Linked DNA regions of Lonchura striata. The protein of the gene in region 2 purifies or fractionates together with the protein of the main gene of each other region. This does not show direct contact. Links are inferred from orthologs where the notes say so. Each region holds a gene or a part of one and is shown on either strand. Other genes may lie near its edges.

The links.
Region 1: the proteins of SF3A1 (region 2) and ZC3H18 purify together in Homo sapiens (affinity purification with mass spectrometry; 3 studies listed by BioGRID and IntAct, with this or other methods). This does not show direct contact. The link is inferred for Lonchura striata from reciprocal best matches to the Homo sapiens genes SF3A1 and ZC3H18.
Region 3: the proteins of SF3A1 (region 2) and SNRPB2 purify together in Homo sapiens (affinity purification with mass spectrometry; 5 studies listed by BioGRID and IntAct, with this or other methods). This does not show direct contact. The link is inferred for Lonchura striata from reciprocal best matches to the Homo sapiens genes SF3A1 and SNRPB2.

Annotation. Positions count from the first base shown.
Region 1 is NC_134615.1:22,359,694-22,363,439, reverse strand, and holds the start of ZC3H18 (zinc finger CCCH domain-containing protein 18), read right to left. Parts: upstream 2,451-3,746; 5' UTR 2,408-2,450; intron 1-2,407.
Region 2 is NC_134620.1:2,641,059-2,644,804, forward strand, and holds the start of SF3A1 (splicing factor 3A subunit 1), read left to right. Parts: upstream 1-1,157; 5' UTR 1,158-2,415; coding exon 2,416-2,669; intron 2,670-3,746. UniProt on the Homo sapiens protein: Component of the 17S U2 SnRNP complex of the spliceosome, a large ribonucleoprotein complex that removes introns from transcribed pre-mRNAs.
Region 3 is NC_134605.1:3,353,458-3,357,203, forward strand, and holds the start of SNRPB2 (U2 small nuclear ribonucleoprotein B''), read right to left. Parts: upstream 2,608-3,746; 5' UTR 2,541-2,607; intron 2,260-2,540; 5' UTR 2,248-2,259; coding exon 2,184-2,247; intron 1,026-2,183; coding exon 853-1,025; intron 347-852; coding exon 206-346; intron 1-205. UniProt on the Homo sapiens protein: Involved in pre-mRNA splicing as component of the spliceosome. Associated with sn-RNP U2, where it contributes to the binding of stem loop IV of U2 snRNA.

The DNA.
Region 1 (3,746 bases), on a different chromosome or scaffold from region 2:
AAAGCACTGGGATTAAGTAGCCTTGGCACAGCACTAAGGGCAGGGAGAGAAAAGCTCTTTGCTACTTAAGTTGCTTTTAAAAGTCCATTTCCACCTCGCCAGGATACATTTAAAAAAATATCCTGAATCTCACACCTTTGTCAGTTGATTTTCACAAGGCCAGAGGAGTCAGAGCAGGAATTTTAACCCAGCAGCTCCTTTTGCAAAATCAGGCCCAATTTCTTCTCTGCTGTTAAATGAACAGCACCAAAAGGTGCAAAATTAAAAAGGTAGAAATTCCAGGCAGGAACTGAGTTCCTACAAAAACCTGGAGCTGGGCAGAGCCATCAACTGCAGGCTTAAAATCCTACCAATTTTCATGGATATGATGAACCAAGTGCATTCCCCATTTCTGTCCCCTGGCAGCCCTGGGGGAGGTCACAGCACACATGGGAAGGAAAAAAAAGAGAGGAGGCTTTTTCCTTCCGGCTGAAATCTTTGGGATAAAAGGATAAAATCCACTTCCTAAAAGCCAAAGAGCTGCTGTGAATCAGCTCCATGAGATCCAGGGGTGAAAGCAGAGCAGCAAATTCTGGAGCAGGAACTCTGAGGGAGCTGAGGAGAGGGAAGAGTGCTGACAGGACAGGTGAGGAGAGCACACAAAGATTCAGGGAACAAAAAACTGCAAGAGCAGAGGCAAAGCAGAAACCAAGGGCAGGAAACAACACAGGGAAGAACATGGAAGAGCAGTGGCAGCAGAAAATCAATTCCTCAGGAGCCAGGAGAGGGGAAACACAGAACACTGAGAGGATGAACCTGTGTGCAGCCCTGCCCTGACTGCAATTCCAGCTGCTAACAGGGTTAATTAACCCAAATCCTCATTTCTCTACCATCCTTGGGCAGCTCTGAGGTGCAGGATGCCCAGGGAACTCAGCAGCTCTCAGGGCACCCTTTGATGCCCCAAACTCAGGTGCCCTGTGGATCAGTTTGGTGCTGAGAGGCATTTCCAGGAGCTGGGGTTGAAGCAGGAATGTTCCCCATGGATTTGTGGTGGGGTCCTGCAGGGAAAAGCAGCTGCAGAATGTTTTCCCAGCACAGCTGATCTCCCTGCAGCTCTCCCCCAGCAAACGCTGGGTGTGAGTTCTCAGGGCCTCAGGGAGAGACAAGCAGCAGAGTCACACCTGGATCCAGCAGGATTTGGGATAATCCCACTCAAAAGACTGATGTTGGATCAGCAGTTTGGCAAGGAGCTGTCCTGATAAACTGGGAGCCTTTTTCTGAATCCAGGCAAAGCTCAGGAGGAAAGAATTCACACCCTGGAGGTGCTGTCCTTGCTGCAGCTCTGAGGAGACTCCCCTGAGAGCTGACCCTGCAAGTGATGGACCCCAAACCCACCTGAGAGCTGACAGACCCCAAACACACCTGAGAGCTGACAAACTCCAAACCCACCCCAGAGCTGACCCTGCAGGTGACAGACCCCAAAACCAACTCAGGACTGACCCTGCAGGTGACAAACCCATCCCACAACTGACCCCACAAGTGATGGACCCCAAACCCACCCCAGAGCTGACCCTGGAAGTGACAGACCCCAGACTCACCTCAGGACTGACCCCATGAGTGACAAAGCTCAATCCCATTCAGAGCTGACTCTGCAAGTGATGGACCCCAAACTCACCTCAGAGCTGACCCTGAAGGTGACAAACACACCCCACAACTGACCCCACAGGTGACAGACCCCAAACCCATTCAGAACTGACCCTGTAGGTGACAGACCCCAAACTCACCTCAGCACTGACCCCATGAGTGACAAACCCCAAACCCAACCTAGAGCTGACCCTGACGGTGACAAAGCCCAAGGCCAGCCTGGACTGTCCCCACAAGTAACAAAGCCCAAACTCACCTCAAAACTGTCCCCACAGGTGACAAAGCCCAAGGCCAGCCCGGGCTGTCCCCATGTGCAGGCAAGGCTGCTGTACCCCATAGTTTGTGCCCCCTCACTCTGCTCGGTGCCCCTCACTCTGCTCGGTGCCAGCCGGGCTCTCTGTGCCCCTCACTCTGCTCGGTGCCAGCCGGGCCCTCTGTGCCGTGCCCCCGGGCGCTCTCCCGTCCCCACTCCCCTCCGAGGAGTGCCGGTCCCAGCTCTGCCCCCGGCCCCCCCAGGCCTCCCGCGGCGCCGGGGCCGGCCCCTCCCGCTCCTCACCGCGACCAACCGGGGCAATTCATTCATTTCCGCGCTGCCCCGGCCCGGAGCTTCTCCGGCTTCCCGCGCACCGCCGACCCCTTCAGAACCCCGCGGGCCCTCCCCTCCTCTCCCCGCTGCCGCCGCCGTTCCCCGCTCCCCGGTGCCGCCGCTCTCCCCGCCGGGCCCGCGCCCGCCCCCCCCCCGCTTTCCCGGCGCTAGGCCGCGGCGGCGCGGGAGGCGCCTCACCGGTGTGGGGGTGGCTGCGGGGGCCCGGCGCGGTGCGGGGCGCGGCGGGGGCGGGCCGGGAGCGGCGGGGGCGGGCCGGGGCCGGCGGGGCGGCGGCGGCAGCGCGGGACGGGGCGGCGGAGCGGCCTCTACTCGCGGCGGCGCAGGGCGGCCATGGCGTGACGTCATCCGCGCGCGACGCGCCCCGCCGGCGCGAGGCGAGGGGGGGGGCGCGCGCGCGCCTCTCCTCCCCCCCCCCCCCCCGTCTTAAAGGGGCCGCGCACGGCAAGGGCGGAGCGCAGGTGTGTGAGCGCGCGCACAGGTGCGAGGTCCCCCGCGTGCCCAGGTGTGCCCCAGGTGTGCCCCAGGTGTCCCCAGGTGTGCCCCAGGTGGCGGCCACGCGCGTGCCGCGGGACCGGGGAATGCTCAGGGTTGGAAGGCAGCTCTGGCAAGGGAACGTGTCCAGGTGGGTTTGGGATGTCTCCAGAGAGGAGAGCCCACATCGCTGGGCAGCTGTGCCAGCTGTGCCCCCTCCACGGACACCAGTGGGAACTGACACAGGGAACATCTCTGTACAGGGATGGACACCAGTGGGAACTGACACTCGGGAACATCTCTGTGATGGACGGACACCAGTGGGAACTGACACAGGGAACATCTCTGTGCATGGCTGGACACCAGTGGGAACATCTCTGTGATGGATGGACACCAGTGGGAACTGACACACGGGAACATCTCTGTGATGGATGGACACCAGTGGGAACTGACACAGGGAACATCTCTGTGATGGATGGACACCAGTGGGAACTGACACTCGGGAACATCTCTGTGATGGATGGACACCAGTGGGAACTGACACAGGGAACATCTCTGCAGGGATGGACACCAGTGGGAACTGACACAGGGAACATCTCTGTGATGGACGGACACCAGTGGGAACTGACACAGGGAACATCTCTGTGATGGATGGACACCAGTGGGAACTGACACAGGGAACATCTCTGCAGGGATGGACACCAGTGGGAACTGCCACTCGGGAATATCTCTGTGCACGGATGGACACCAGTGGGAACTGCCACTCGGGAACATCTCTGTGATGGATGGACACCAGTGGGAACTGCCACAGGGAAACATCTCTGCAGGGATGGACACCAGTGGGAACTGCCACTCGGGAACATCTCTGTGATGGATGGACACCAGTGGGAACTGCCACTCGGGAATATCTCTGTGCACGGATGGACACCAGTGGGAACTGCCACTCGGGAACATCTCTGTTTCCCGGCGGGGTGGGCGGGCAGGGGGCGCGGCCGGGGTGGAGCCTGTGCCGCAGGTACATCAGGGCAGGTGAGGCGGGCGGGCT
Region 2 (3,746 bases):
CACTTCTGGCGCGCACGCGCGGCACAGCGCCCGCCGCCGCCATTTCGCCCCAGTCGGAGCCGGCGCCGCGTCCGCTCCGCACAGAGCCGGGCCCGCTCCGCACAGAGCCGGGCCCGCTCCGCACAGAGCCGCGTCCGCTCCGGACAGAGCCGGGCCCGCTCCGCACAGAGCCGCGTCCGCTCCGCACAGAGCCGGGCCCGCTCCGCACAGAGCCGCGTCCGCTCCGGACAGAGCCGCGTCCGCTCCGGACAGAGCCGCGTCCGCTCCGCACAGAGCCGCGTCCGCTCCGCACAGAGCCGGGCCCGCTCCGGACAGAGCCGGGCCCGCTCCGCACAGAGCCGCGTCCGCTCCGCACAGAGCCGCGTCCGCTCCGCACAGAGCCCCCGGCAGCGCCTCCATCGGCCCCGCCCGGCGCGGAGCCCCCGGCCCCGGCAGCGCCATGCCCGCCGGACCCGTGCAGGCGGTGCCTCCGGCGCAGCCCGCGCCCCCCGCCGAGAGCAAGCCGGTGCGGAGCGGAGGGGAGGGGAGCGGGGAATGGCGCGGAGCTCAGGGCTCTGGCAGTGTGGCCCTCACGGGCCGGGCCGGGCTGGGCTTGGGGGAGCTGCGGCTTCGTCCGGTGCGCGGTGTTGACCCCTGTGCCGCGCTCGGGTGAGAGCCCACCTGCAGAGCTGCCCCAGCCCTGGGCAGGCACAGGAGGGACCTGGAGCTTTGGAGAGAGTCCAGAGGAGGCACCAGAGATGCTGCAAGGGCTGGAGGTCCTCTGCTCTGGAGGCAGGCTGGGAGAGCTGGGGGTGCTCACCTGGAGAGGAGAAGGCTCCAGGGAGAGCTCAGAGCCCTTCCAGGGCCTAAAGGGGCTCCAGGAGAGCTGGAGAGGGACTGGGGACAAGGGATGGAGGGACAGGAGACAGGGAATGGCTCCCACTGCCAGAAAGCAGGGCTGGATGGGATATTGGGAATTAGGAATTGTTCCCTGGGAGGGTGGTGAGGCCCTGGCACAGGGTGCCCAGAGCAGCTGTGGCTGCCCCTGGATCCCTGGCAGTGCCCAAGGCCAGGAGCCTGGGCTAGTGGGAGGTGTCCCTGCCCATGGGCTGGGGTGAAATGAGATGAACTTTAAGGTTGCCTTCCAGCCCAAACCATTCCAGGATTCCTTGGAGACAGCAGGATCCAGCTGGGGCTGGGCAGGAGCTGAGCCCTTCCCTGGCAGTGCCCTAGGGCTGTGGTTCCAGTGAGTTGGGGGGGGGGTTGCCAGGAGCTGTGGGAGCTATCCTGGCTCCAGGAATGATGTGTGGAGGGATTAAAAGCCTGAGGGAGTGTGGCAGTGCTGTGTGTCCCTGTAATCTCCCAGAGCCTTTCTCTCTTGGCCATTTTCATGTTCTTTGCAGCCTTCCTGAGATGGGAATGTTCATTCCTCATGCATTCCTGAGATGAGAATCCAGCTCCCACAGAGCTGAAGCTGCTGTCCTGACTCTCACACAGGAACATCAACACTCTTGGGGCTGACAGGGAGCTGATCTCGCTGAGAACCTTGGAAAATTGTGATTCCCCCCCAGAAAAACCCAGTGGCTTTTATGCACAGTTGTTACCAAGGCAACATAGCAGCATTGTTAAATATCGCTAGTGTAGTGTTGCCCCATCCTTCAGCTCCTCAAGATGATGTTCTGAGGGAGTGGGAATAAAACCTAGAAATGTTCATGGTGCCTTTTTCTTAACACACCTTGTTAAGGTTGTGTTTTATGGGATGGTTTGTTTTGGAAGGGACCTTAAAGCCCATCTCATCCCACCCCCTGCCAGGGCTGGGACACCTTCCATTGTCCCACGTGGCCTTGGGCACTGCCAGGGACCAGTTTGACTTCAGAACATTTTCTGGCTTGGATTTTCTGTGGATTTGACAGAGCTGGGAGCTCTACCTGGATTTTAAATTATCCCTGACTGTAGCCCTGTTAGGATTATAAACATTTCCAGCAGATCTGTCCCAGTTTATAACACCTTTTCTTGGAAGCTGCTTGGTGAGGAAAGAGAAGCAGCATCTTTAGTATCCTGCAAAAGCATCTTATGGTTTTACTGGAATACAGATCCTCCTGTAACATCAGTGAGAAAAACACTCTTGGAGATTTTCTCTTCAAAACACCTTCTGTTGCAGCTACAATGGCATTAAAAGCTGTGTTTTATTTAATGTGGAGTTAATAATTCAGGTCCCACAGGCCCCTAGGAAGATGCAGAACTTCCACAGCTGCTGAGGAATGATGAATTATTCCTGGAAATGTTACTGGAGCCTCTTGGCTCAGCATTTAAAAACATACTTGGGGTCAAGGCTGATACAGTGAAAATTGTTTTGGTTCCCATGGGGGCACCTTCCTTGTCCTGCTGTCTCTGCCCCTGCAGCAGGTGCCCCTGAGAGTCCAAGGAGTTGGTGGGATGGATGATCCAGATTGTTCAAGCAGTTCAGTGGCTGAGAGGCTGAGGAGGAGGATGGATAAAGGTTCCTGTGTGCCATTGTTTGGGATGCCTAATCCTGACTCCCCTTCACCTTTTGCAATGAAACTGTCTTCATTACAGCCAGAAGAGGAGCCTAAAGAGGAAGCAGCACCAGCCAAGCCTGTGGTGGGAATTATTTACCCTCCTCCAGAGGTCAGGAATATTGTGGACAAGACTGCCAGCTTTGTAGCCAGGTAAGTGGCACTGGTGGTGTCTCTTTCCTGGGATTTTCATGCTTCTGCTGTTCAGTGCAGCTCTAGAAGCTGAAGCAGGTCCCAGTTTTGTGGTTTTGCGTGAAGGATTTCAAGGATTGAGGTTGTACCAGTGAGACTGAAAAAGAAGTCTCTTCAGGAGAGGGTGTAAGACACCCTTTGCTAGAGAAACTGGTAGTAAATAAATAAAGTCCTTGTTCAAATGTGCAGTGAGTGCTGCAATAACTAGGTGACCGGGCCTGTTCTGAATGATCTGAAGGGGAAACCAAATATCAGGTGCAAAGGGAGCCCTGGTACAGGAGTCATGGCTGTGTTTTGGTGCTAAAATGTGGTTGGTTTTGGTTCCAGAGAATTACTAAATGCTGCTCCAGTCCAACCCTTATTGTGTTACTCATCTTGAAAGTGCTGCCAAGGAGCGTTGGCTGCTTCTGAGCATATGGGGCTGTGTTTATCCTTTGGGATTGCAGAGAGCTCCTCTTTTGGAGGAGCTGGAATGTGTAAATGAGACTGGGAGTTATCCAGAGAATATGAAGAGGAACACCCTGTGGCAGCTGGGAATTTTCTCCAGCTGCCCTGAAATCACTGGCTCGTGCTTTGGGTGGGAGGAGGGGATTTTACTTGGACTGGGACTCCTAAATGCAGCACTCTGGGCTGGTCAATCCCTGCACAGGCTGATGTTTACCTGCTTTTTTTCATCATATGATCACTCTAGAACTGAAATTAGTCTTGAGAACTTGTTAATAGAGCAGATAAAATGGATGTAGTAAGTAACTTGTAAACTTCATGCTTCATAACTGTAAACTTCAGCCAGTGGTGGAAATGACCTTTGAGTGCAGACAGATGTGGCTGGCGAACACTTGTGAGTGTGAATTTTTAATATTCACATTAAAGGCACAATTAGGGTGACAGTTGCATCTAACTTGTGTGTGTTCAGCTGGTTGTGAGCTACTGAGGGAGAAACTCTGGTCGTGTGAGAGAGAGAATGATCTTCCAAGGGGCTGATGCCTCAGCACATCCTAGTCTGAAAGAGACATTTACCCTTGAGTTGATCTAAACAGC
Region 3 (3,746 bases), on a different chromosome or scaffold from region 2:
ATAGTCAACAGACCCCAAATTAGGGAATTGAAAAGTAACAAAAGACAACATCAAATCCTAAAAAATTATTTAGAATAGCTTTTTTGTGTGTTTTTTTGTGGTTTTCTTTCTTTGTTTTTTTTTTTTTTTTTTTGGGGGGGGGGGGTTTGTTTGTTTATTTGGGGTTTTTTGGTTGGTTTTTTTTCTGAACAGAGAAGCAGCTTACCTGGATAACTTTTTTATTTGGTGCATTTGCTGACTGTTCCAGAGTTTTGGCTTTCTTCTTTTCCTTTCTTTTTTCCTTATCAGCAAAAGTCCCACGCATTTTAGAGATTATATCAGAGTCTGTTTTTGCATACTGAATACGCTTTTTAAAAGAAAAAAATAAAAAAAATAAAAACAGAGTATATTCTGCAGTCACTAATACTGAACAGTTTGCACCACGTACATTAACTCTGTATTTACACCCTTTTTGTTTTTGCAGAAACCTTTTATATTAAAAACATTGTTATAAAATGTAGGTACACTTATGAAGTAAACAATTCTCAGTTTTTTCTGAACACAAATACAGAAGTCTAAAAAAAAACCCTAATATGGAAATTATTAACTTTAGTTCATTGAAATTGGAACTCCATTTATCTAACATCTTTTTAACATCTGCCAAGGTAGCACCTACAGGGAGATTCATTTGAGCTACACAGAGGACATCTGAGAAAATCAGAACTAGCTTCTATTAAAACTGCCAGTTTTCAGTCCCATTTTAAAGGGAGTTAAAATTTGACAGTGATTTCCAAGATCTCTGCAGAAATGTAAATTCAGCAAAACCCAAACTTCTCAAACAGAAAAGGCAAGTATCTTACAAAAACAACTTACCATTGGTTTCCCATAAAATGGAAAGCCTTGTAGCTGTCTCAAAGCATTGGTGGATGATCCAAGTTCTTTAAATATAACAAATGCCTGTCCTCTCATCTTCATGGTCTTTAAAGCCACAATGTCGACCACATGACCGAACTGTGAGAACAACGCGTACAGGGACCTCTTCAGCTCTGGGCACCAGGGAGAAAACAGATTACAGCAGGTCACAGGCAAATCCCCACTTCTACCAAGACTGCTGTCCTTTGGGAGCAGTGTTTTTTACAAGCTGTAGCTCACACAGTGAGTGCACGAGTTTGTCAAAACTGTTGCATCATTACAAATTTATTTGCCCAGGTTTTGTAAACTGGTGTGCAGCATTTGGTTTCATACCTCAAGGATTTACGTACTGAAGAAGTTATAATGCCATCCATTCTGCCATTCCAAGGGAGGAACAATTACATAAAGGGATGTAAAAACGTATTTTCATACAGGTATATGCACACACACTCAAGCATGATGAATGACAGCCATCTCAGACTGATTAGAAAATCAAAATTGAAACAAGCAGCAGTAGAGACATGATGTAAAACAAGAATGCAGCAGAACAGTAACTACCTAAAGGCTAATTAAAGTTGGACATTTAATCAATTTTCTCACTCACATGAAGTATTTTTTCGTATTCTGGATCCAAATTATTTTTGTATGAGACTACTGCAGCTTACACTGGATTTACTTCAATTATCTACAATAACCTGAACACATGCCAAATTAAACCTTAACACTATCCAAATCAAGGTAAATAAATAATCTGTATTGTGTAATCATTCAAACACAAAAACCTTACATTTGAACTATTGCACCTCTCCCGTGAGGAAAGGCTGAGAGATTTGGGGTTGTTCAGCCTGGAAAAGAGAAGTCTTAGGAGTGATCTAACTTTGGCCTTTCAGTACCTGAAGGGAGCCTACAAGATGGAAAAGGACTATTTACAAGGGTTTGGAGCAACAGGACAAGGGGGAATGGCTTCAAACTGAGAGGAGGCTTAGATGTGATATTGGGAAAATAGCCTTTACTGTCAGGGTGGTGAGGTGTTGGAACAGGTTTCCCAGAGAGCACTCCCCATCCCTAAAAGCATTCAAGACTGGGCTGTAGGGAGACCTCAGCAACCTGATCTAGTGGGAAGTGCAATTATTTGCTTTGCTGCTGTTTCATTACAACAAGGCGTTTGCCTAGAGCTCAGCTCACGACCAACTCCTGCTCAGCAATTCAGAGACGTCGGGGAGCTCCTAAAATCCCTTTTGTAAGACAAGTGCCGTGTTGGACAACCAGAGGCGACCGGCAGCCACTCGTACCTTCCTTCTTGATCTTGTCATTGATGTTGTTGATGTAGATGGTGTGGTTCGGCCTGATGTCCATTCTCAGCAGCACCTGCGGGCAGAGCACACGGGAGAGGCGTCAGAGAATTCCGGGCAGCGGCACCTCATATCCCCGAGGAGCTGCACCTCACATCCCCGGGGAGCTGCACCTCAGAGCCCCGGGGAGCGGCACCGCGAGTGGGGGGGCAGCGTGTCCGTCCGTACGTCCGCCCCGACCCGGCTCTTTCCGTGCTGAAGACGGCTGCGACACTGCAAGACGGGAACTGCAGAGAGGGAACCCCGATCCAGGCCCTCCCTGCACCCCCCCGGCCCCCGGCCCTGAGCGCCCCTCACCGCGGCGCTCCCGCTCGATGGCGGCCGGCGCGTCCCGCCCTCAGGCGCGTCCCGCCCGCCGGCACGCAGCGCAGGCCGCAGAGCCGATCGCGGAGCCGCCGATGGCCGATCGCGGAGCCGCCGATGGCCGATCGCCGAGAGCGCCGATGGGGAGCGGCGGCGTTAGGGAGGAAAGGGGATAAAAGCCTGATGGGATAAAAAGGGATAAAAGGTTGTTTTCGGCTGAAATGGGCGTTTCTTGCCCCAGGTTTGGCTCTGTCCTGTTCTAATAGAGAAATAAGCGAAAATAAGTGTGGTTTGGGTTTTTTTTTGTTTGTTTTTTTGTTGGGTTTTTTTTTTTTTTTAGTTTTTTTCATCTTTTTTTTTTTTTTTTTTTTTTTTTGCTTGGTTTTGGTTTTGTCAGGTTCAATTTGCTTTTTCGTGGTTTTTTTTTTTGTTTTTTTTTTTTTTTTTTTTTTTTTTTGTTTTTTTTTTTTTTTCTTCTTTTGTCTCTTTGCAGCGCCCAGAGCAGCAGCTTGGGAAAGCATGGAATGGTTTGGGTTGGAAGAACCTTAAAGGTCATCTAGTAAAACCAACCTGCCATGGACATGGACAGCTTCCACTAGACTGTGAATAATGCCTATTTTAGGATTGGCTTTTCATAAATATTAATTTGAATAATGTATTATATGTGAATAATATATATATATAACATTATATATAATTATATATAATAGTATAATAATTTATATACTAATATAATATATATTAATTTATATACTAATATAATATATATTAATTTATAATTATATAATATATTAATATATTAATATATGTAACAGTATATATAATAATATAATAATATATTTATAATAGATATAAAATATTACTTTGAATGCTATATTATGGTATACTATACTATATATATGTTATATTGATTAGAAGTGCTGTATTTACATTTTAATAGTATGGTAAATGTAGTTTTGTAGTTAAAATAGAAACTATGTATGTGGGGGTTTTTTTTTAAGAGAACGTGATACTCACTTTGAGAGAACAATCACAGAACACCCAAATCTTCCAGAAAAGAGGAATTCATGGTTCTCTTTTCTAATTTCTTCAGGCCTTGCTCAGACTTGAAGACACTGTGGGGATAAGAAGAAGCAGGTGACACATTCCAGACAGAGTTTCCTATTTTAAATAGAATGTATGCATAAACATGAAGTCTGC